2 linked regions of the Oryctolagus cuniculus genome follow. The protein of the gene in region 1 purifies or fractionates together with the protein of each later gene. This does not show direct contact. Links are inferred from orthologs where the notes say so. Each region holds a gene or a part of one and is shown on either strand. Other genes may lie near its edges. The genes, in order: FGFR1 and CD44.

Region 1 (11,957 bases):
ATTTTAGGAGAAATGTGTGTAGATAAGATATTACTTATGTATCCACTCTGCCTGCTTGGGTGAAGAAATCTGGGGCTAGAGCGGAAAGCATGACACAAGTAAACAGTGGGGAGGCCCCGGGAGAGTTGAGTCACCGAGCAGCTCCTGAGGCGCAAAGGCACTGTTGGTAGATTGCGACCGTAAGCACCACCGTGAGCACCGAGCGCACGCTGGGCTCGGCCTCCAGAACACAGCGAGGCAAGGGACCTTGTTTGGGCCTATCTTCATCACCAAGGTAAATCAGCGACTGACTTGACTTCTGTGGTCTGCCGCTGTTTTGATTATAATGAAAGAGGGTTTCTTCCTCCAGAACTTTCCCCCCATAGCTGTAACCCATGCCTGGGAGTCCTTATGTTTTATTCCTAGACACTCCAAGCCAAATCACAGAAGACATCCCAGAACAGCAAGGCTAGTTCAAAGGGAGCCTAAGGACGCCGTGAGGACCAAGCTCACTCTCTCCAGCTTCCAGCCCTCAGCAGCGGCACCCATCCGGGACCTCCCAGCTACGACTGACTGTGTGTGACTGGAGACAGAGGGGTTCAGTCCTTGGTGGCCTCATAACCATTCCCGATGATGTTGGCAGCAAGACTAGGTTGAGAGCATGTGGATGGATAGGACTGCCAAGTTCATCTCCTCTGTACCACCGGGGATCCCACCAGACCGTGTGAACCCCTCCACCCACCCACACCCCCACTGTGCGGTCTGCAAATAGTGCACATCTGTGCATGCCCGTGAGGGGAAATGGTTTGCATAATGGACTCGGCCTGGCACCTTAACATACCTCTGCTTCCCATGGCCTGGAATCCAAGTTAAGAACTCAGGAAGCTCCAAACCCCATTTTAAGAGCACCTGGCCAACTATTCCAGAATGCCACATACATGACAGTGGCTTTGAAAACAGAAGTGCCTTCTGAAACAGGACAATTCAACTCCCCAGGAAGTCTCTCTGGAAAGAAAGGGCTCACTTCTTAGAGGAGAAAATGAGGAGTTAAGAGACTGGCAGTCAAAAAAGGTTTGGCTATGGCTTAGCTGTTCTGACTGACCTCTTCCTCTGGGGCCTGCAGAGGCTACAGGAATCTGGGAGGTGGCCACTATCCCAGCACATGTGGCTTTCATTAGCCACCATTTTGTAGGGAACATAATTAAGGGTTTAAGGCTTAACCATTTGTTTGTGCTGAGTGTGTTTCTGGTCGGTTTGTCTTTCACAAGTAAGACTATTAGTCAGTCACGGGGCTCTTACAGCCGGAGATGATCCTTGTGCTCCCCAGGAACAAGTATTCCATTCAGACTGACGTTCAGTTGCTTTTAGTGTTGTTAATACTGACAGCAGCTGACCAGGAACTTTTCTTACCTGGGGAAGCTGTTAGAAGGGAAAAGGTATTTTGGCCTGTGGGCGATTGAAATTATATTTCTTTACTTGTTGTGAAACTGAAGGCAGTTACACGGGATCCCATTAAACCAAAAAGAAAACTCCACTCTGCCCAGTCTGGGATCACCTAAACGAGAAATGTCACTAGCAAAGGTGCATTCTGGGATGCTTCCTAAACTACTCTATCAGGGGACAAGCCCCTCCTCCACTCCCATCCCCACCCCTGCCCGCAAACGAAACAACTCCAGTCCTCGAGGTGACCAGTCCCCATGGATCCTGCCACCGGCCTGGCGAGGCCACTCACAATAAATCTCCGCACCTTCAAGATGCTAGGTGTTTATTTCAGGTGTGTAAGTGTGGGGAAGGTATCAGTAGTTCAGCTGCTCAGTCCTGCTTCCGCTGAGTTATTTCCACATGCTGTTGGCCTGTCCTGCAATTTTTTCTGGCTCACTCTGTGAGCAGAATGGGAATGGTTAGGTCAAGGGACCCTGGTCTTGTGTTTTTGCTGAAGCTTGGCATGGGAGACGCCTGACACACCTCTTCCCATTCTTGCAACAGCAGGAAGTCACAGATGTTGCTTTGCTCTTATCACTAGGGCGCTCAGTGACTGGGTTCTACCATTATTAGACAGAATCCCATGCTGAAACCTAGCTGGTGGTGGCTCCAGTAAGTTACCAACAGCCAGCTCAGTTACCGGGGTGGGGTGGGGCAATGCCTGATTTGTAGCACTTACAGCCTCCCACCGTGGGAGATGTCAAGCTGTCAAAACCAAGTCACTGAACAATGCAGCTGGGAAGAGGTGCACACAACCGGTTCTTGAGAGCCAGCTCCAGAACACCCCCGCCCTGGCCCTCCTGGAGTAGATAGTTAAACCCACTGAACTGGCTGGGCACCAAGTTCCCCAAATACATCACTCTGAGGTGTCAAGACTTGGATCTGGGCAGCAGTACAGTATAAACGGTCCCGAACACTGGTGCCCATCTAGAGGGAATCCGCCCTGACCTGCTGCCTACCCTCTTCCTGGCTCTTACCACAGCGGAGGGGTGGAAAGCTGTCAGGAGGCTCCCAAGCTTTCCCCTTCCCCAGCTCTCTACCCTGCCCGACACACAGATGCCTTGGCTCGACCAGCTGCCAATAACCTCACCAGGCAGTTTAGGAATTCTTTATCCTTTTTCACTTGCAAGGTAGAGACAGATCTCCCACTGACTGGTTCACTCCCAAAACGCCTTCAAGAGCTATTGTTGGGCCAAAGCTGAGAACTGGGCTTCTCATGAGGGTGAACTTAAGTACTTGGGCCATCATCCCTTGCCTTCCATTAGCAGGAAGCTGGAGTTGGAAGCAGAAACTTGAACCCAGGCCCTCCGAGGTGGGATGCAGGTATCCCAAGCAGCTTCTGCATTCCTATGCCTAATGCCCAACCAGATTTCTGTGCTTTTAGTGCTAAAACCTAGGTTTAAAGATTTCCCATCCACCACCAGCACATGTTAGTATGCAGGCAGCTCAGACTTGAAAGGCTGGCCCATGAGCTGATGTTGACTGAGCATTTAGCTTGCTGGCTCCCCCCAGTGGCAGCTGACAAACACAGCGACTTCATTACCATTAAGATAAAATTTCTGCTTCTTCTGATACTCAATCTTACTTACCTGCGATCAATACATTACATTAGCAGTGCCAAGGGACTGATGATCCCCAGCCTACAGCAATTAGGAGAGGCGGGACGGCAATGGATGAATGCCGTGCTGATCCCAGGCCCCAGCCTTAACCCTCAGGAAACCAGAGAGATTCACTGCCTTGACAGAAGTCTTCATTACAGACTGGATTCCTTCCCCAGGAGACCCAATCTGGTCATCTAAGTAAAATGGCCATTTCATTTTCTCTCAGGTCAATGTCACTACCTTTTATCTGACAGCCAGCCAGGTCTCTGGGGATCCTTGCGGGTGACTTGAGCAGCAACAGCAAGGACATCACTGTCACAAATAACAGTGCCTTCTACTTCTCTAGTGCCGCTGCTGAAAGCACACACAGGTCTTCGCAGGTTCTCCACGCACTCACACCACCAAGGGCCAAGGCAGAAATCACCGCCGCCATACAAGGGAGACATGCCACCCTTCGGTCTTGGAGGGAAATGATTTTGAGAGCTAAAATCCACTTCCTAGCTCTGTTCACCCAATCATGCCCTCTTTAAACATAAATGCTAACATTTACAGACATGAGATTCTCCCAATGGTGGGACCAACACTGCAGCTGCTAAAAAAAAACCCACTGAGCTAGAAAGGGAACTTAAAGCAGTGACCCCGTTTCCCTTGCAGAAACGAGACTGCACTGAGAAGGCTGAGGGGCCTGAACCATTAAGGGTTCAGGACCCGCTGGGTGAGGACAAGCGACACCAGCAGGTGGCAGAAGTAAATTTCCAAGCAGCCAAAACCCAAACCCTTTCAGGGAATTTTTCCCCCTTTTCCTGGGGGATGGGATGGAGTTTATACAGGAACAGCTACAGGAAGTCAAGTTCAGAGACTGCCCCAGCCAAGGTGGCCTGGTCACAGAAGAACTATCTGTGGGAAGACAATGAAGCAGCTTTTTAGGTGACAAGTTTTCCCTCCCAGGACCCAGCAGAGATGAAGCCACGCCCACATGGGCAGAGGGTGGGGGAGAAACTGGGACCTAGGTTTGAGTTTTCTGCAGATCTTTCGAGGATAAACCACTTTCCCTCTGTTATCACCTGAGCTCTAGCCCTTGGCTATGGCAAGGTCCCCCCTCCTCCTGCAACCCTCCCAGCCCCGTTTCCTCTGAGGAAACAACCTGTGGTAAAGGCTGCAGTGGCGTGGTGCTCTGCCCAGCGCCACCTGCCCTTGGTGCAGCTTTTCTGCCCCTCAGCCTTTCCAAGCGTGGTCACGGGTAGGAGGCTTGTCACCAGGGGTCTGGGTGTAGGAACCAGGAGGAAGACGTTTCAAGGAAACTGGGGAGCACGCGGTGCCCTCTGGACCCAGCCCTGGGCCCACGGGTGTCCCTTCTCTCCACTGGACACTCTCTCCCCTTTCACACAGCCCATATAAAAATGAAGCAGCAGCAATTTTTATTGAGGGACCTAAACTGAAAATAGGTTTAGAACATAATTTAAAAAAATAAAACAGCAAAAGTAGCAAAAAATATATGACCTTTTTAAAAACATTTTCCTTTTTTTTCCTTTTTTTTTTGTTTTTGCTTTTTTTTTTTTTTTTTTAATATATAGCAACCGATGCCTCCCAGCCGCCAGGAGCATCTTAGCCGGTGGGTAAATCTCTGGTCACGACCCTTTTAAAAAGACATGTAAATATATACTCAGATTTATACACTTTGTGTTTTCTTCATAGCTATGTACAAAGCCCCCAGTTTCTCAGGGCTGGGCCCCAGGGCCACAAAACTGCTCCCAGCCTGTCTGTCTCCTCTGGTGCCAGCTATTTGGTCAGCAAAGCGAGTTAGTATTGGAATTAATAAGCCACCGGCACCATCTAATGCGGAGCAGCTGTAGCCCTGAGGACAAGGCCCCCGCCACCAGCGAGCAAGGGCTGTGGAGCTTCCGGTGACACGGACAAACCGACAGAAGCGGGCAGCCTAGGGAGCTGTCCCTGGCCGGCCCGCTTGGCCCCGCGCCCGACCCTCCGGGCAGCGGCAAGCGGCAGGGGAGCGTTGGTCCATCCCGTGGGAGGGAACGGAGCGGCCCCTCAGCGAGCACCTGCCCCTTGGCTCCTCTCTCTCTCTCACGAGCAGGAGAAGCTAAGGGATGCCCGGGGTAGGGGGCGGCGGCGAAGGCAGCCTCGCAGGAAGGCCTCAAGTGGGCAGCCGGCTCCCGCCAGCAGGAAAGGGCGTGAGGAGAGGCAGTGAGTCCAGCAGGGGCTGTGGGCAAGGGCCACGGCTGACCGTGGGAGTCTGGGCGGGGAGAGACGGGCTGCGGTGGTCAGCGTCGTTTGAGTCCGCCATTGGCAAGTTGGGCCGAGCGTCGGGGCAGACACGGCTCCTCGGGCAACGGCTCGTGAGAAAAGACGGAGTCCTCGCCCGAGGAGCAGGTGGAGCTTCGGGTGTCGGGAAAGCTGGGCGAGTACTGGTCCAGGGGCATGGACAGGTCCAGGTACTCCTGCGACGGGACACAGGTGCCGGAACTCAAGCCCAGTCCCCATGCCATGGCGGGCCCCGTGCGCCAGCCTGGGGCAGCCATACCTGGTTGGAGGTCAAGGCCACAATGCGGTCCAGGTCTTCTACCAGCTGCTTGAAGGTGGGCCTCTGGGAGGGCACTGCGTGCCAGCAGTCCCGCATCATCATGTACCTGCGGCAGCAGAGCGGAAGTGCAGTCAGGGCGGAAGGGCACCAGCGCGAGAGAAAGGTGGCCTTCCGGGGGCGGGTTTCGAATGGCCACGCCCCGGAAGGGGAGGAGCCCCACAGCATCCCGCTCCCCCAAGACCTCAGAGGCCGGCTTACAGCTCATTGGTGCAGTTGCTGGGCTTGTCCATGCGGTGGCCTTCCTTCAGCAGCTTGAAAAGCTCCTCCACAGGCACGCCGGGGTACGGGGAGCCGCCCAGGGTGAAGATTTCCCACAGGAGCACCCCAAAAGACCACCTGCGGATGCGCACACGGCCACTGCACCTGGCGCCAGCTCAGGCTTCCCTGTCTCCCGTGCACCCTCCTAGGCCTCCCTTCCCCCAAAAAGGGAGGGCCCGGGGGGCTGGAGCAGAGGAACAGCCGCCGTGGTTGGCCACGCTGGCCTTCCAGCTTCCGGCCACAAAGGCTGGCCAGGAGGGCATGGTCCTGGAACTCCCCTCTCCCGCTGTCCCCCGGCCGGACTCACACATCACTCTGATGGGTGTAGATCCGATCGAACAACGCCTCGGGCGCCATCCACTTCACGGGCAGCCGGCCCTGCAGGCAGTATGGAGGGGAGAGGTGGAGAGTAGGGGTGGCTCAGCAGGTGCCACACACCCAACCTATGCTACTACCCCCCAGCTTCTCGGCCAAAGCTGTCCACCCTGGCTAAAATTTCAAACAAACAGCCAAGTGGGAGGAGCCGCCTGGCGGGAGCAGCGGCAGCCTGGGCACTCACGTTGGTCGTCTTTTTGTAGTAGTCGATGTGGTGAATGTCTCGTGCTAGGCCGAAGTCGGCGATCTTCATCACGTTGTCCTCCGTCACCAGGACGTTCCTGGCGGCCAGGTCTCTGTGTATGCACTGCGGAGAGTACAGAGCACAGGGCGCCGGGCAGGTGAGGCACCACCACTGGGAAACGGATCCCGGCTTCTCAGCAAACCCACTTCCCTGCGTCCTTAGTTTTAGCTGGCTGAGCCTTCATGTCTGTGACTGCCTGTAGGGTTGTGTGCGCCAAGCTCCATGTTCCCACCTGCAGCAGAGCCACCCAGAACTCTGACAGGCGCTGTCCCATGGTGCCCCCGGACATCAGTATTAGCCTCAGTTTGTGCTAAGTGGCTTGCCTGAGGCCATGCAGAAAGTGGGACCGCACAGACGAGAATCAAATCGAGTCTGACTGCTGTGCTGCCCCTCCCCCCACTTCCCGGACAGCCCAAGACAGCGCGCGGAGAATGGAGATTACACAGGCTGGGGAAGCAGAGGAGGACTCGGTTCCCACGACGGACGACCTCCCCCTGGGGAGTCCTTCGGGTCAGTACCTTCTTGGAGGCGAGGTATTCCATGCCTCGGGCCACCTGGTAGGCGCAGGACACCAGGTCCTTGGAGGAGAGCTGCTCCTCGGGGTTGTGGCTGGGGTTGTAACAGTATTCCAGCCCCGGGGGCCGCCGGGCCTGCAGGTACTCCCGCAGGTTGCCCTTGGAGGCGTACTCCACGATGACGTACAAGGGACCTGGGAGCACAGGAGGCAGTCACCAAGGCAGGGGCAGGTGAGCAGGTTTTGTGTCACAACGAAGTGGTACCCCAACACCGTACATCTGCTCCCCTTCCTGCTTCCTCTTTGGGGGACCAGGGAAAGTCATTCTATTCCCCAAAGAAAGTCAGGGAAAGAATTCCTCCTGGGGCTGGTGTTGTGGCGCAATGTGGTTAAAAGCTGCCACCTGCAACACCAGCATCCCGTATGAGCATCAGTTCAAGTCCCAGCTGCTCCACTTCTGATCCAGCTCCCTAATGTACCTCAGAAAGCAGCAGAGGATGGCCCAAGTGCTTGGGCCCCTGCCACCCAACGCAGGACACCTAGATGGAGTTCCAGGCTCCTGGCTTTGGCCTGGCCCAGCTCCGGCTGTTGTGGCCATCTGAGAAGTGAACCAGTAATTAGAAGATCTCTCTAATTCAGCCTTTCAATCAATCAATCAATCAATAAAATGTTCTGCTGGTTCACTCTCCAATTGGCCGCAACAATTGGAGCTGTGCCAATTGAAGCCAGGAGCCAGGAGCCTCTTCCAGGTCTCCCATGCAGGTGCAGAGGTCCAAGGACCTGGGCCATCTTCCACTGCTTTCCCAGGCCACAGCAGAGAGCTGGATTAGAAGTAGAGCAGCTGGGACTCGAACCGGCAGGATGCCGGCACTGTAGCCGGCAACTTTACCTGCTATGTCACAGTGAGTGCTGGCCCTCAAAATTAAAACAAACAAAAAACCCAAACAACCAAATAATTATTCTTAAAAAAAAAAAAAAAAAGAGAGAGATTCTTTCCAACGTAATCCAAAGTTCCTGAGCAAAACTGGGGGTTGGGGGGTGACAGCCCTTGCTGAAGCCACAGCTGGCTCACCTGTTCCTGCCCACACATCATGTGTGGGACTCCAGTGTCTGTGTCCTGGAGCAGCAATGGACAGCAGCCCAGACCCGAGGAGATACTCTGCAGTCACTGCTACACAGGCCTCCCTCCCTCCCCTCTGAGTGCAGCCCCCTCCCGCCAGCCTGGTCGGTCTGCTGCAGGTGATGGGAGGGCCAGCCCGGCTCTGTGCCTACCGTCCTGCGTGCAGGCCCCCAGCAGGTTGATGATGTTCTTGTGCTTCCCAATCATCTTCATCATCTCCATTTCTGAGATCAGATCGGAAAGATCTTTCTCTGTTGCATCCGCTTTACACATAAACCAGAAAACGGCATGAGACTCCTTTGCTCTGGGAGGGAGCAGGGCAGGATAAAAGCCAAGGGGACCAGCAGACTGTGTGCCCGAGGGACCCCTTTGTGCAGAGGCTCCCTCCCGCTCTGCTCCTCCACCAAACACTTCATTTCCCTGCTCTCATATGGGAGTACTGTTGTGAGTGAGGCAGGGGCAACGGTGAGCAAGCTGAAACACACACCTGACTACAGCCTAGGCTGGTGTGCAAGGAACAGAGGGAGGAGACACTGCTCTCGCAGTGCAGAGCGCCCCTCCCACTCCCAGGTAAGCTCAAGAGGCAGCAAAGCAGGCAGGGGCAGGGAAAGCACCAGAGGAGGGGTCCGATTCGGCGGGCGGCTGCACACAGTCTGCTCGGAAGACGGGAAGGGGCTGTTTTACGCAGAGACACAAGCATCACTCACACTTCAACATCTTCACGGCCACTTTGGTCACACGGTTGGGTTTGTCCTTGTCCAGCCCAATGGCCTCCGCCAACACCACCTGCCCGAAGCAGCCCTCTCCCAGGGGTTTGCCCAAGACCAGTCTTTGGCAGGGAGGAGGGAGAGAAATTGGCAAGAGTCAGGGTTGGTAAATGCCAAACACACAGAGGATACCCAAAGGCAAGCAAGAAATGGACAGGATTCTGTCTGGAGGCACTGCACATGCCTTGACTCCCCGGAAGGTCCTGGCACCCACAATCTCCACCCTAAGAGCCACAACAAAGGGGTGTCCTCACCTGTCTCGAGGCAGCTCCCAGCGAGGGTCTTCGGGCAGCTCATATTCAGAGACCCCAGCTAACATGGGGGTCCCGCTGGAGGAGAGCCGTGAGGGCCGAACCAGAAGAACCCCTGAATTCATGGATGCACTGGAGTCAGCCGACACCTATAGGGAAGAGTGGGGTTACCTTCTAGCAAGGGGATGGGATGCAGCCGCAGAAGCCTGAGTCTCTTGCGTCTGAGGTTCCTTCCCCAACGTGGAGCCGCAGAAAGACTGCGGGAGGCCGGGAGACCCGTGTTCTCATCCTGACTTATTTCTGCCACTGATCAGCTGTGTTGGGCTTCACTCACCTTGGAAATAGCAGACCACACACACCTCTCCCAGCATGACCTGCCACAACGCAACACTGCAGTAATGACTCTCATTCGTGCCCCAATTCCTGGCAAAGACCCTGCCTTGGATGATGGATTTCTAACGCCCAAAGTTAGTTCCAGAGTTTGCACAGGGTTCTGAGTGCCCGCCACTCAGACCTGGGAACTGACTTGGGTCCTCTTCTCTCTACCCTGCTTCTCTGTCCCTTCAGCTGGCCCTGGGAGGTGCTCAGATACACGGCATCAGCTACACATACAGACCACACAGGACTCTCTCCCCATGCATGTGAACAGGGTCGTTTCAACAGGGGCATGGAGGGTACAGGGAATTTTCTAGGCTAGACCAGTGTGAAACTGACTCTGGAACACTGGGTTTAGGCCCTTCTTCTAACACGCCTGGCCCAGAAGTCAGAAAGCAAAGCCTAAAGGGGGAGAGGAGGGACGGTGGAGAGGCTGAGGCATCGGGGGACCCTGCGGATGTCCCCGGAGGCACAGCAAGAGAAAGCGCAAGCGTGCAAATCCCCCATCTACTTTCTGTTACCTGTCTGCGCAGGGGGATGCTCTTGGCCAGCTTGTGCACGGCCATCTGGCTGTGGAAGTCGCTCTTCTTGGTGCCACTCTTCATCTTGTAGATGATGACGGAGCCCACCATGCAGGAGATGAGGAAGGCCCCCGTGCAATAGATGATGATCTCCAGGTACAGGGGCGATGTCATCACGGCTGGTCTCTCTTCCAGGGCTGAGTCGGTGTGAACAGGGTGTTAGCAGGTGCAGGGGAGCCCCAGGCTGACAAGGGGTTTCCCCACTGCATTAGAAAAACAACACCCATCTCCTCTGCCTCATTTAGGGGTGTTCAGAAGATGTAAGCTAGGGGTGGGGTTCTGGCACCGAGAGGGTCAGGCATCCTGGGATCCCTGAGGCGTCCTTAACCGGATGCAAAGTCCCTAAGTGCTAAGCACTAGACATCTATTCTCATTTGGGAGCCTCCTCACTCAGCTGCGGCTGGGGGGATGGTTGGATACCAGGTATCCCCTCTCAGGTATCCCGAGAGGGGCAGCTGAGAAGTCACTTCTGGATGCCTTTCTCAGTGTCACTGCAGAGCCTCGGACACTTATCCCATGGGGACAGACCGTTTCTGATGAGGTCCCAGAGGCAGGGCCGAGGCCTTGGTCACTTGTGTCTGCCCCAGCACCTGAGTGTGGGCGGCGGCACCCGGCCTGTGTCCTGACACCTGTGTCAGTCACCTCCACTAGACCAGACATGTAAATATTTACACCTAGCCAAGCCACTTGCAAAGGGATTCCACTTCCCAACGTGTCTGAATTGTTTTTTCTGTGTAGTTCTCACAAGAGTTCTACTCACGGGCTTTACCTCCTAACAAACACTCACAAAGGAAAAGGGAGCGGCAGGTGCCTTGTTTTATTCTCTGCCTGCCCTCTTTCCATCTGGAACTCACTGCCACCCCCCAAAAGCCAAGCCAGTTCAGCCCACCTGTCTGTACCCGGGAGAGAACTCTCATCCCAGCCCCACCCTCGCGAGGGGCCCCTCTTCCCGTCACCGCTGTCTCCCCTCCTGATCCGCCCCTCAGAAACCCTGCAGCCAGCCACAGAGGTGGCGGGAGTTATCCCCACCCCAACCCAGAGAGAGGCACAGGACGAGGCCCAGGCCCAGGCCCTTGAGGACCTCAAGGCCTGACCGGCAGACGACAGAGCTGATGACAGAAGTGTTTCTGTTTTACTCCTTTCCCCAACGTCGAGAAACAAAAGACAAATGATGGGGTGCACAGACAGACGGGACGAAGACAGGACGACGATGAAAACAGAGAACACTTCTGTGCCTCAAGTGGAGGGGGGTGAGGACAGAAGGGGGCGGAGTCAGACAGGAGAGCAGATGGCACCCAGACCCACATGCGGGACACGCGGAGATGCAGCACACCCAGCTCCGGTCACCACCACCCTGCACAGCTGCAGGCTTCTTCCTTCCTGGCTCGACACAGACCTCCCGCCGGGGACAGCAGCCAGAGAGGATGCAGGGGGACTGCCATGGCCCCACTGAGGCTGCCTGAGGCAGGCCTGACTTAGAGCAGGTCGTGTTCACTTGTCTAGAAAGGTGGCTTCTCCCCAGCCAGAGGACCTGGCATGCAGGCTGGACAAGTGCCGCTCCCTACAAGCATTGAGCACCTCTGGGCTGAGGGCCTACATGCAGTGTGAAGAGCAGGGCTCTTTCTCAAACTTTTGGGATTGGTGCAAAAAAATAAAAAAATAAAATAAATAAATAAATCAGGTATCTCAGACACCCAGGGACCTAGGGGAGGCTGCAGGACCCAAGGACAGGAGAAGCCTGCCCTGCAGGAGAGCCCGGCTGCCGAAATGAATCCAGATCCCCAGCATGCATTGCATTGGCCACGGAGGGG
Region 2 (12,419 bases), on another chromosome or scaffold:
TCGGGGTGATGTGCCTCTAGAACTCTCTGTCCCCTACTACACCCATCCTGTCACCCCGTGTTGGCCTCCCTGCCTCTCAGCCTCACAGGGCAGACAATCCACCGAAAGGCAGGACCTGCCCCAGTTGCGGACAGTTTCCCACGTGGCAAGCTCCCAGGAGAGGAGGTGCAGTTTGCCATTGCCACTGTGGCTGACTGTCAGGTGCCAGGCTTCCACGCAGACCTGCTCCTGTAGGAGCTGTGGTGCTAGCCCCCTGGAGAAGAACTTGATGATTCCCCGAGAGACCCAAAGAGAAGGCCAGAGCCTTCTGTGACACACTTCTATCTCCCTCCCACTGCTGCCACCTCCCGAGGAGGGGATTTAGAGGAGTTTCAGCCTCTCGCTTCAGGGTTCCAACCTCAAGACAGCAGCTTCCAACTAACCAGCCCTCCCCCACCCCCAATGCTGGCTGCTGCTCACGGGTGCTCCATTGTAAGGCTCAGCTTTGGGTTTGCTGTCATCATCCTGCCAGGCTCCCACTCCCTTCTTGACCGAACTATCTGGTAACCCTGCTGTCACACCAGCATCCCCAGCCACAGCAAGCAGCCACCAAAGCCACAATCAGAAGGGTGAATTCTCTGGAAAAACCAATATGAGTCCTGAGGGGGCCAGTCAGGCAGCCAAGAGTCCTTGTTGGCTTTGTCCCAAGCAACACAGCCACCACCACTATTACCATCTGCACATAAATGTGTCTGAAGCCTCAGTACACTGGCCAGCATGCTTCTTTATATGTGGACATGGTTATTTCCATATGTTAGACATTCACTTCAGGTTAACAGGCAATTATCAGTCACCACCATAGACTATCACTGAGGATGGGGACCACCTCATGATCCCCGACATCGGGGGCCTCCGACTGGATGGCGGATAAGAGATGATGTGTCAGGTTTTGATTTGCTGGGATTTTTCTCCCTTTTGAAGGGTGTGAATGAATGTCCTTAGCAATCCTTTGTACCATCAACTCACACCAAATGACCCCGTGTGATTTTACTGTGAAGCTTTATGGAGGCCAGCTAGAATTCTGAGAACTGGATACAACCTTCTTAGAGATGAGGTTGTGGGATGGTTGGCATCCTATTGCACCTGGGATCCCAACAACTGAGGAGATTATGGGATGGTTGACATTCCACTGCACCCTCATCAGCTTGGAACTGTCTAGGGGGGTACTTTTGGTGGTTACACCCCAGAGGGGGAGACTGGTGCCACCAGAACATTGGGTATAGAGATCAGAGACACTGCCACATATCCCATAACTCAAAGGGCAGCTCCCTTTCTGGCCCACGCCAATAGTGTTGAAGCTGCCTTCACGAGACCGTGAGATTCTCTGGGGCAAGGACTAGTAGTTGTTACCTCCTGGCAACCCACTCCCCATTACCTAACTACAAGGTGCACTGAGCAAGTAGCACACAAACACTGGACACTTTGGCTAGATAATTACCATGGTCAGGGGTGGATCAATTCATAGTGGGGAGCAGAAGTCGACACATCCCTTTCTCATTTCCTCTTTACCCACTCAAGTCCTGTCTTGACTGCACTGCTGCCTCCTCTCCAGTGCTTTCAGTGATTGCTCCAGGCCTCCTTGCCTTGCCTCAGCTCTGCGATGCTGTTAGCTTTGCAGTGTGAACTGGCAGGCTGTCACTCAATTGCACTGTGCTACACGTGGAGAATCACTAGGTTCTTGCAGTTAAGGCCTTTTTTCTGTACTTTTCATTCCCCCATAATACCTAACACAGTGTGGGATGCCCATAAGAATGACTGATCGGGGCTGACATTGTGGTGTAACAGTTTAGGCCAACACCTGCAATGCCGGCATCCCATATGAACACCGGTTCAAGTCCCAGCTACTCCTCTTCAGATCCAGCTCCTTGCTGATATGCCTGGGAATGCAGTGGAAGATGGTCCGAGTGTTTGGGCTCCTGCACTGACATGGACACTCAACTGAAGCTCCTGGCTCCTGGCTTCAGCCTGTCCCAGCCCTGGCCTTTACGGTCATTTGGGGAGTGAACCAACAGATGGAAGATGTCTGTCTCTCTGCCCCCACACCTCGTAACTCTGCCTTTCAAATAAATAAAATATTTTTTTAAAAAAAGAGAATGACTGGGCCGGTGCCATGGCTCAATAGGCTAATCCTCCGCCTTGTGGCACCAGCACACCGGGTTCTAGTCCCAGTTGGGGCACCAGATTCTGTCCCGGTTGCCCCTCTTCCAGGCCAGCTCTCTGCTGTGGCCAGGGAGTGCAGTGGAGGATGGCCCAAGTCCTTGGGCCCTGCACCCGCATGGGAGACCAGGAGAAGCACCTGGCTCCTGCCTTCGGATCAGTGTGATGCGTCGGTCGCAGCACGCCAGCTACGGCGGCCATTGGAGGGTGAACCAACGGCAAGGGAAGACCTTTCTCTCTGTCTCTCTCTCTTTCACTGTCCACTCTGCCTGTCAAAAAAAAAAAAAAAAAGAGAATGACTGACCAGCTACATTCACATGCATATCGGCACATGTGTTCAGACTCATGTACTAATATATGTACACACACACTCATAATATGGAGATGTATACATCTAGAAAACAAGAACCAAATATGTGGTTTCTCCTGGTAATTCACACACTAAGATCAAGAAATAACATATTATATTTCTCTCCAAAGTATACATATTTTCTGAACCAAATATCAATTTCTGCGGACACTAGACTAAGAAGTTGCAAAGATGTGAAATTCTTTATGTGAAAAGCCTTATAAAGTGTTTGACTTATAATCACATGAACTCATGTATTTATCTGTAGAAAGATACAGAGACATTTAGTCAAAATATACAGCATATGTCAATTGGTAGAGTTCTTGCACATTCAAGATCCTGACTCTTCAAGAATATCTGGACTGCACACTCACTGCATCCATGCCAACAGGACTCCAGAGCGACACGCCCTAGAAGGGGCCTTTCCAAGCTCCTGGCCAATTGGGCTGGCTTCCCAAACTCCTGCTGTCCAGTTTTGGGGGAGTACACTATTAAGAAAAAATTGTACCTGGCTACGTGAGTAAAAAAAAAATGCAATTCTTATTTAAGGCAGAAAGCATCATCCTATCCCAGTAATTCTAAAGAATATTTGTGTCCTTCCCATTCAAGCAGACACAAAGGAAATTGAGTCATCAGCTTCTGGCTGTGCAAACCCCAGAATTTCTCTTTGAGACATGAAAGATCCCCTTTGAACACTGCACTGTGCGTGGCAGCATCTGCCACCTGCCGCAGCTTCTTTCACTAGAACCACTTCCTTCTCGGGCCCTGGGTGGAGTCAGTTGCAATGGAGGTGCTGGCAATACAACTGCTGCTGCTATCTTGTCCCAGCCCCAGATCTACTCCCAACCAGGACGGACTGCTGGGGAGGCCCCGCTCGCATTCCCACCACCTCCTCTGCCTCGGGGACCCCAGCCTGGAGGCCTGACTCTGCAGGCAGATCTGAAACCTCCCTTGGTTGGCCACGTGTCACCTAGTGCTCCTCACCGGGTTTCGGTTCAAGATCCTTGAGTTTAGTAGAGAGAACCATGTCAGCCCACTGCCTAGATACCTCAAGACTTCTTCCCAGGGCACACATAGCCTGCTGATGATCCTCTGAAGACAGATTCTCAGGGTCAATGCCACTGGAGTGCTTACAGGGTCAGGGTGACAGCCCTTACAAGGACATTGCCCTGACTTGTCTCTTCAACAAAGAAACAGCCTCCCTCTCTCTCTCTCTCTTTCTTTTCCAAACCCTGCAAATGAGAGCATGTCTAGAAGGCAGCTGGACTCTGATAAGGGAACTGACTTATTTTAGAAGCAAATAACTAGGTTGGCATCTCCGACAGCTGTGGCCATGCCTGGGGGGTGGGGGTGGGGTGGGGTGGAGACAGGCTAGCCCCAGACAGGGCAAGGCAGCTAAGAGTCTACAGCCTGCAAGAGGGCGGAGAGAGAAGCCACTCATACCAGGCTTCACCTGTGCCAGGCCCAGGGGACAGGCAGGGTGGGAAAACAACACACAATTTCCAAAGTCCTCCACAGGTACAGTAATGAATGGAAGGCCTGTGGCCACTGGATTCTAACAGGGGGAATTTCACACAGGGGGAATCCCAGCTCCAGCACTTGGTCGGTGGGTGAGTCACATCGTGTCTCGGAGGCTCCATCTCTCTATCTGGCACACGGAGTTAACAGTAGTAATTCACACGGCTGCTCTGAGGCTCCTATCAGAGAATCTATGCCAAGCCCTGACTTAATGCCCAGTACAGGTGCTGTTTGCTAAGTGGTACTTCCTATGGTTTTAGGAACACGTTTTGTACCATACAGTACAATAGCAAGGCACCAAGCTTTGAAAATCGGAGTGCTCTCCTACCCCTCTGGTTATGTTCCTGCAGGTGCTAGAAGCCCCACAGCATCTTCCCTGAGTGTTAGCTAAGAAATACACAAGATTGCTTCTGTCAAAACACACAAGATTGCTCTTGTACTAAACACACAAGCTTGCTCTGATACTAAATACACATGGTTGTTCTTATACTAAACACACAAGAGTGCTCTTACATTAAACCCAAGCTGGCACAAGGCAGAGTAAATGACAGAACTGCTAGGCATGCACAAGATAGCACTTGAGCATAGAACACATATTGTTGCCCCAACAGACAACAGCCTCCCCGCCCACTACAGGACCGGGGGCCAGACTCCTCCCTCCTCGAGTCAGGGGTATTTCCCTAACCAAACGGGCACAAGCACCCCGCCCTCACATCCTAACAAGTCTCAGAGAGGGAAAGTCACTCTTCCACTTCCTTCAGGGTCTTTTTTTTCCTCCTTGGAAAAAAGAAGGGATTTTTCTAAACAATCCTTAATGTCTGTCTCTGTCTCTGTGTCTATGAAAATGAATCAGAAAAGATTTGTTGAATGAATGAAAGGGAGTCTGTCATATACTAGGAATTTCAGGATGCCTAGCATCCACTCCTGCATGGGGTAATTTGGAAGAAAATGGAACTTTTTCCTACTCATCTTGTCACCACACCTTTGCTGGAAGTACATGGCCAATGTGTAATAGGGGGAATCCTTGAATTAATCAGTGCTAATCCTGGTAGGGATGGAGTGTTGCTTCCTCACTTGGGCACATGGGAACACAGCTGTAGCTCTAACTCCGGACAAAGTTCAGTGGGGACAGGGAGGGGTCTGCCACTCCCAGTCCCACAATTCCCAGACACAATCCAGTTTTTCAATGCCAAGGCCACAGTTCCCTAGCCATGACCTAGCTCACAGAGAAGCAGAGATATGATGTGCTTGGGTGGGGGGGGGCTCACCCCCAGGCCTCTATCAAGGGCCACTTTCTTTAAGCCACCCACAGCACCTCATTCAACTCTCCAACTCAGCTTCTCGGACTGACATTCCTTACCTACATGGGGCCATTTCTCTACCTTTCGCTTTTGTATACAAAGATTGGATGCTTCTTTCTACCCACAAGCCTTGCTCCACTTCACAGCTTCCCATTGTCCTCCAGAGCCCACCACTCCCCAACAAGAAGCAACTCCTTCTTCTCCTTCCCCTGTCTTCCTGCCCAGCCCCAAGCCCTCTATGAAGCCACATCGCCTCTGCAAGTCTCAGTTCCTTCCTTCCAAAGAGCTTTCTGAGCACGTGAAAGCCCGTGCCCAGGCAGCTACAGTCACTGTGCTTCCTCCAAAGGAAGGGAGGTTCTGAGAGACCACAGGCACCCCAGGCAGGAGCGAGCCCGCTGGGAGAGCCTCAAGGCTGAGGATGGTGCCAAGTACTTGGAGGTAGAACCCTTTAGAAGAAGCAGGGAGTCAGGATTCAGAACACCTTGGAACCAAAGCAGAAGACCCGGCAGGGAGGTAGGCAGCGTACAAATAAACCTCCCAGGTGGTCACAGAGAAGCCTCCTCTGCCCCCCTCCTCTGACACCAGGCCCCAACGCTCTCCCTGCTTCCAAGAGTCTCTTCTCTCCCATCCTGAGCTTTCTGCGTTTCAAGGGGCTGCTGGAGCTCCAGTTCCTGCCCAGAGCCCCTCCTGCCCTGAGCTCCTTTAAGAGTCGGCCCTTCCCTTTGAGTCTAACCCATCCTAAGCCTGGCCTTTGGCATTCAGTGGGCCAGGGTTCCAACCCAGCACAGTCCTATCTGTGTGAAACCTCTCTGTGCCTCAGTTTCCCTCCCAGAAAACAGACCCAATGATGGGCCACTGTGGGAGTTCAAGGAGGTAACACAGACCAAGGATTTAACACAGTGCCCTGCACAGGGAACGGTGCAGTAGGGGGTAGCTAGCATTGTTCTTGCTGTTATTATTACCACTATTGTTACTTCTGTCCTCAGGAAATGCAATTCTAGGTCCTTAACCTAGCCTCATCTAAAGTACCCAGGTGGGACTGTGTCTCTGGCTTTCCTGGATACCCCCAAACTGAGTTTAATAAACACTCACTGAGTATTATGAACCATAGGCTGAGCGGTCTTAATGACCCAGCTGGCACTTGTTGAAAGAAAAATTAATTTTCCAAGCGATAAGCAAATCAACCGTGTAATTATCTGTACATATATAGACAAAGAAAGGGAACACTTGGAGTTGAGCCACACCAGAATACCTCACACACTGCACGCCCCTCAGCGGCCACAGAAAGGCACCAGTCTGTTCGCATGTGATACTGGAGCCCTGGCTCCGAGGTCCCTGACTTCACGCTGGTGTCCAGACTCTCCTCCCTGGGGTGAGACTGCCAGGCAGGGGCAGGGAACAGGAGCCACATTCTTGTTTGGATTTCCCCAAACTGATTGGCAGAACAGAAGGCTGGCAGAGTTGAGCAGGCGCCCAGTCATTGTCCCTCTTATTCGCACTCCTTGCCCCAGGCTAGAACCTCATCTCCAGGGTTGGTTCAAGTTCTAGGGTTCAAGTTCAAGGCTAGGGTGGTCAGGGGCAGGACCAGACAGCCAGAGGTTGGAAATCAGGCTCACTGGGCAGCCACATGAACACAGGAGCTCTTTCTGGAAAGCTCACTGCCTCCGGCTCCCACCCCTGTAACTCTGATCACCTCTGGCCACCCTGCCAGCAGCCCCTACCCTAGCTCTGGCTCCCCTCCCTGCCTCTGCGCGCACCCAGAAGTACAGTTATTCTGCCATGTGCTCCAGCTCCGGCGCCCTCACGCCGAACTTGAGAGGGCAGCCTGCCCGGCCAACTCTCTGCCTCCTTTTCCACTCCACCAAACGGTGCTTCCCACCGACAGACTCGCCAACCGCTTAGCGCAAATCCCAGCGCTGCTCTCCTGAACTCAGTTCAGGTCACTCACCGCCCCACTTGACTCCAGCCTCCCAGGGCGGACTCAATCTACCGGGCTCCTGCCCGGCTGCTCCCTGGACACTGCGGACACCCCTGCCGCCGCCCTGGGCTGCGGCGGGCACTCACCGATCTGCGCCAGGCTCAGCTGCACTAGGCAGAGTCCCCAGGCTGCGCGCCACCAAAACTTGTCCATGGTGTGTCCCAGCGAATCGAGTGAGCAAGCGGTGGTGCTGGAGGAGGGGAGGTCCCGGGGCGCGGGGCGGGGGCCGGTGGAGGACGGGGCGCACGGGGCGGACCGAAGCTGTCAGAGGTTGGGGGCCGCTGGGCAATGAGGCCGCCTCGGAAGTTGGCTGCAGTTTTTATTCGAGGCTTGAAAGTGACCTAAGAGGGAGGGAGCGAGCGCAGGACACACCCAAGCGAGGGGCTGTGTCTAAGGCGCCGGCGGAGGTTTAAAGACGTACCAGCAGTCCTTGGCGCGGGCCTCCGCCCCTGCCCGCCCTGGCTGCCTGCGGACTCCCTGCGCCCCCAGTCCGTGCGCCCCGGGACGCCCGTCAGCTGGCTCCGCCGCTTGCTAGGATGACTGAGCCCCTAAAACCTCCCTCCCTTGTGTTTAGCCTCTGCCTCTCCTTTCCCGCTAGCTTTCTTTTTGCATTTGGTTTGGGGAGCATTTCTGGGTCTCCCAGGCAGGTGGGCGTCCTGGGCGAGGATTGGAGGTGGGGGAGGCAGGGGCTTAGGTTTCCTCCCAGGGGAGGAGGGCAGAGTGCATTCTTCTTCCCTTCGAAGAATAGTGAGGTCCGCATCGTCGGTGGCAGTGACGTTTTGCTTCTCCTTAGGACTGCTCAGGGAAAGCGACCCAAGGCCCGCCCTGGGGCTGCGATTTGGATCCCGCAACCGCCGCGTTCATTCTGTGCCCACACACTCAGTCTTCCTCCTGAATAACCTTCCATTCACCGTCCATCTATCCACCCATCTTTCCTTACGTACTTCCGGAGCGCTAATATCCATCCGGCCCACTGTCCATCTATTATCTGTTCAAATCCATTCATCTTCCCATTCATCTACTGATCCACTGGCTCCATCCATTCAACCAGCCATCCATCCATCCAACCGCCTTTTCTTCCGCACATCCTCCCACACAGCTGCTCCTCCACCATTCTGTACCTCCGCTTTCACATCTCTTTGTGCTCCCGACCCAGAAACATCTCCTTTCCAAACACCTCTCTGTTAGTTGATGTATCCATTCATCTCACATCCATCCATCATCAACATTTCTACCCATCATTTATCTGTGCTGTCATCCACCCCCACATTCAACCCTCCTTTCCTGCTCCCTTTTATACCACATTCTACACAAACATTCATCTACTCTCCCCAGTGTAGCCTACCTAGTAAATCTAAACAGGAGAAGGGACTGTCATGTTTGTTTTCTTCTTTAAAGATTTATTTATTTATTTGAAAGGCAGAGTTACACAGAGAGAGAAGGAGAGGCAGCAAGAGAGAGAGAGAGAGGTCTTCCATCCACTGGTTCACTCTCCAGAGCTGTGCTAATGCAAAGCCAGGAGCCAGGAGCTTCTTCCTGGTCTCCCATGAGGGTGCAGGGGCCCAAGGACTTGAGCTATCTTCTACTGCTTTCCAAGGCTATAGCAGAGAGCTGGATAGGAAGTGGAGCAGCTGGGACTCGAACCAGTGCCTATAAGGGATGCCGGCACTGCAGGCAGCAGCTTTACCCGCTATACCACAGCGCTGGCCTCGACTGTCATGTTCTTTCAGGAAGGCATTTCAAGTTTGAAGATATAAAAAACTACATTTTGGATCCTAATTCCATCTTCACCTAGAAGATACTATGGTGCAGTGTTTGGAAAGCAAAAGCAGTTTTAATGTGGACTACTGAGAGTAGATCTCAATGAACTTCTTGCCTTGGGCAATGCACAGAAAGTGAAAGTGACCATCTGTAGCTGTGGCAAGGTCCTGAAGGAATCATGCTTGAATTTCCAAGGAAAGGCAAGATTCTGTAATTTATTGAAAGAAATGGGAAAACTGGGCAGTGAGGCACCCAGCCACCTGCTTACCCATTTACTCATCAAATGAGTAATGGGCACAAAAAAGTCTCAAGATAGATGAGGCCTGACCCTGTCTTTAGGGACTGTCCATGCTGATAGGAAAGCGAACTTTCCGGGTGGGTGTTTGACTTGGCAGTGAAGGCACTGCTTGGGACCCCTGTATCCCACATCTCGTGCCTGGGTTTGAGTGCTGGCTCTGCTTCTGATTCCAGCTTCCTGCTAATGCACATCTCATGAGGCTGCTGCTGATGGCTCAAATACTTGGATCTCTGCCACCCATCTGAGAGACCTGGACTGAGTTCCTGGAGCTCCTGGCTTTGGCTTGATCCAGCCTTGCTGCTGCAGGCATTTGAGGAGTAACCCAGCAGATGGGACCACTCTTTGTCTGCCTCTCTTTCTGTTTATATCTCAAATAAAACATAAATGAATAAATAACAATATTTTTAAAAACCGAAAAGACTGTTACCCACAGTATAAAATAGCCAGCCCTTGTATCAGTGGATCAAAAACATTTGGGGAAGAAAACATTGTTATATATACAGCGTTTTTCCTTTATCCCCTAAGTGATACAGTAAAACAGTGATTTACATGGCCTTCATGTTGTATGAGATGTAATAAGTCACTTTTAGATGATTTAAAATACGTGACACATTCCGCATAGGTTATATGTAAATACTACACCATTCTTTTCTTTTCCCCCAGAAACCTTTTATTTAAGGGACACAAACTTCATATATTTCATAATTACATTCTATATACAGGATTTGAGCATCTGAGATTTTGGTGGCCAAGAGAGCTCCTAGAACCACAACTTTATGTGTTTTCAGGGTGCTGTCAGTCCTAGAGTAGGGAGTCACACTCGTTCTTGGGGAGCTGATCTTCCTTCTATGGCACCAACACCCCAGGTTCCAGTCTCGGTTGGGGCACCGGATTCTGTCCCGGTTGCTCCTCTTCCAGTCCAGCTCTCTGCTGTGGCATGGGAGGGCAGTGGAGGATGGCCCAAGTGCTTGGGCCCCTGCACCCGCACAGGAGACCAGGAGAAGCACCTGGCTCCTGGCTTCAGATCTGTGTGGCCATTTTGGGGGTGAACCAATGGAAGGAAGACCTTTCTCTCACTGTCTATAACTCTACCTGTCAAATAAAAATAAATAAATAAAAATTTTAAAAAAGGAAAGAAAAAAAAAAAAAGAAGTGGCGCAGCCAGGACTCGAACCAGCACCCATCTGGGATGCTGCTGGCCCTCTGTGGATGTTCACCTACTGTGCCACAGCACCGGCCCCACCAATAAGCCTTTCCATGCTCACTTTCCTCAAGTATAAATGAGCTCAGTAACAGTATCTACTTCCTAGAATTGGCAAGGACCAAATGACTTGAAAGTCCTCCATATATAAGGCAGGAGCCTGCACATGCATACAGCAAGAACCATAAATATGAGAATTATTTGAATAGTAATTTGGATGAAGAGTTTGGAAGGGGAACAGGGAGACATGAGGCTGAAGACGTAGACAGAGGCCAGATTATAAGGAAACCAGAGAATTTGAACTTGATCTCACCAGGAATAAGGAGCCGGTGGAAGTTTTAAAATGATTATTATGTTAATATGCAGATAACATAAAATTTACCATTTGAAGGAGAGTAGGCCAAGTGGCACTGGAACATTCACAATACTGTACAACCTTCACCTTTTTTTGTACAAAGTTTTTGAGTCCGTTTGGCTGTCAGCTACTTTACCTCCATTTCCTGGGAGAATATCTGGAGGTGAAAATCCATTATTGGGGCCTGTTCCTCAGCAGCTCAGTAGCTGGCCTGCCATGGCTCCAAGGTCGGCCTGTCTGAAATGATGATAGTGCCTGCAGAGCCGGCATTGAAAACTCTGCCCTGCCACTCTCCACGACCAGAGGGACACTCGCCTGAATCAACCTGGGCCAACTGGTTCCCAGGCGGAGCTGTGGAGCTCTGGGCTCTAACCAGGTAAGGAGCCAGCCCAGGTGGTCTTCCCATCAGGAGGATGCCTGGCCTTGCACACCTCATGCTGCCACCAGGAGTCCGCCTTCTTTGGGGGAAAGGATTGAAGTAGGAACAACGTTTGTCTCCCTGTGTTTCATGGAACCTGAAGTTCCTCGCTAACCCCTAAGAAACAGGGCCAGAGGTCAGGGCAAAGGCTTCCAAGTTGGCTGGGCCTCCCCTCCCCTGCTCCTTTCCCTTGCCATCCCCATCCGCACCGCAGAAGTTCCACTTGTGTCTATTTTATACAGGAGAATTTCATATGTGAGATTTCATTTTGACGGCTGGTTTTACTCTTAAGAAGATATGTAAAAAACCACCAAACAAGATCGTTTCGAATCCTGGTCAGTTTAGCAGTTAATGCAGTAAACAATCACTACCAATTAAAAAAAAAATTTGATCTGAAAGTGCTTTGCAAACTGTAGCCAGGCATGCAAATTCTAGTGGGTGCAGTTGGGCTAATTCTCCCAGCAGGGAGGCTTTTGTCTGTCCCCTTCCCGATAGTTTACTGAGGGACTGAGGCTGCTGACCCCCACACCACAAATGACTCATTTCACAGAGTTGATGAGGTGACTGACTGGGTCATGGTCAGCCTGGATCATTCGCTAAGCCCACCCCCAGCCTCTTTCCGCTCCAAACAAGGACACTCTTCAAACACAATTAGTCACACAACAGCTTTTCCACACTGCGTTGAGCCTCTATAAAGACTGAAATCTTTATAATGATGAATTTTAGATGCTCTGTATCTGGTTCATATCACACCGGATACCTTTCTAAGCCAAAGCATGGGATGTGGGAGACTGGAAAAGAGAGCTCAGATTCATCTGGGTCAGCACGAGCTTGTGCTGTTGGGAAAGACTACGATCGGCAGCCTGGGTCTGAGAAAGCCCAAGTCTGAGCACCGGCAGCTCTTGTCTTATCAGCCCAGTGACAGAACCTCACTGCATTTCAACTCCCAAGCCACAAAATAAGATAGAGAGCCCTGTCTCCTAGTGTGCTATGAGTACGCGGTGAAATAAGCCATGAAGATGGTTTCCTGGAGTCCTTGCTAAT

Evidence for each region.
Region 2: the proteins of FGFR1 (region 1) and CD44 purify together in Homo sapiens (affinity purification with mass spectrometry; 3 studies listed by BioGRID and IntAct, counting the BioPlex papers as one, with this or other methods). This does not show direct contact. The link is inferred for Oryctolagus cuniculus from reciprocal best matches to the Homo sapiens genes FGFR1 and CD44.

The regions. Positions count from the first base shown.
Region 1 is NC_091433.1:88,148,945-88,160,901, forward strand, and holds the end of FGFR1 (fibroblast growth factor receptor 1), read right to left. Parts: intron 10,284-11,957; coding exon 10,080-10,283; intron 9,340-10,079; coding exon of another isoform or gene 9,339-9,339; coding exon 9,194-9,338; intron 9,002-9,193; coding exon 8,880-9,001; intron 8,436-8,879; coding exon 8,325-8,435; intron 7,248-8,324; coding exon 7,057-7,247; intron 6,602-7,056; coding exon 6,479-6,601; intron 6,298-6,478; coding exon 6,227-6,297; intron 5,998-6,226; coding exon 5,860-5,997; intron 5,708-5,859; coding exon 5,602-5,707; intron 5,519-5,601; coding exon 5,342-5,518; 3' UTR 4,464-5,341; downstream 1-4,463. Other genes in the region: LETM2 (LETM1 domain-containing protein LETM2, mitochondrial), read left to right, coding at 406-468. UniProt on the Homo sapiens protein: Tyrosine-protein kinase that acts as a cell-surface receptor for fibroblast growth factors and plays an essential role in the regulation of embryonic development, cell proliferation, differentiation and migration.
Region 2 is NC_091432.1:30,847,719-30,860,137, forward strand, and holds the start of CD44 (CD44 antigen), read right to left. Parts: upstream 7,680-12,419; 5' UTR 7,496-7,679; coding exon 7,429-7,495; intron 1-7,428. UniProt on the Homo sapiens protein: Cell-surface receptor that plays a role in cell-cell interactions, cell adhesion and migration, helping them to sense and respond to changes in the tissue microenvironment.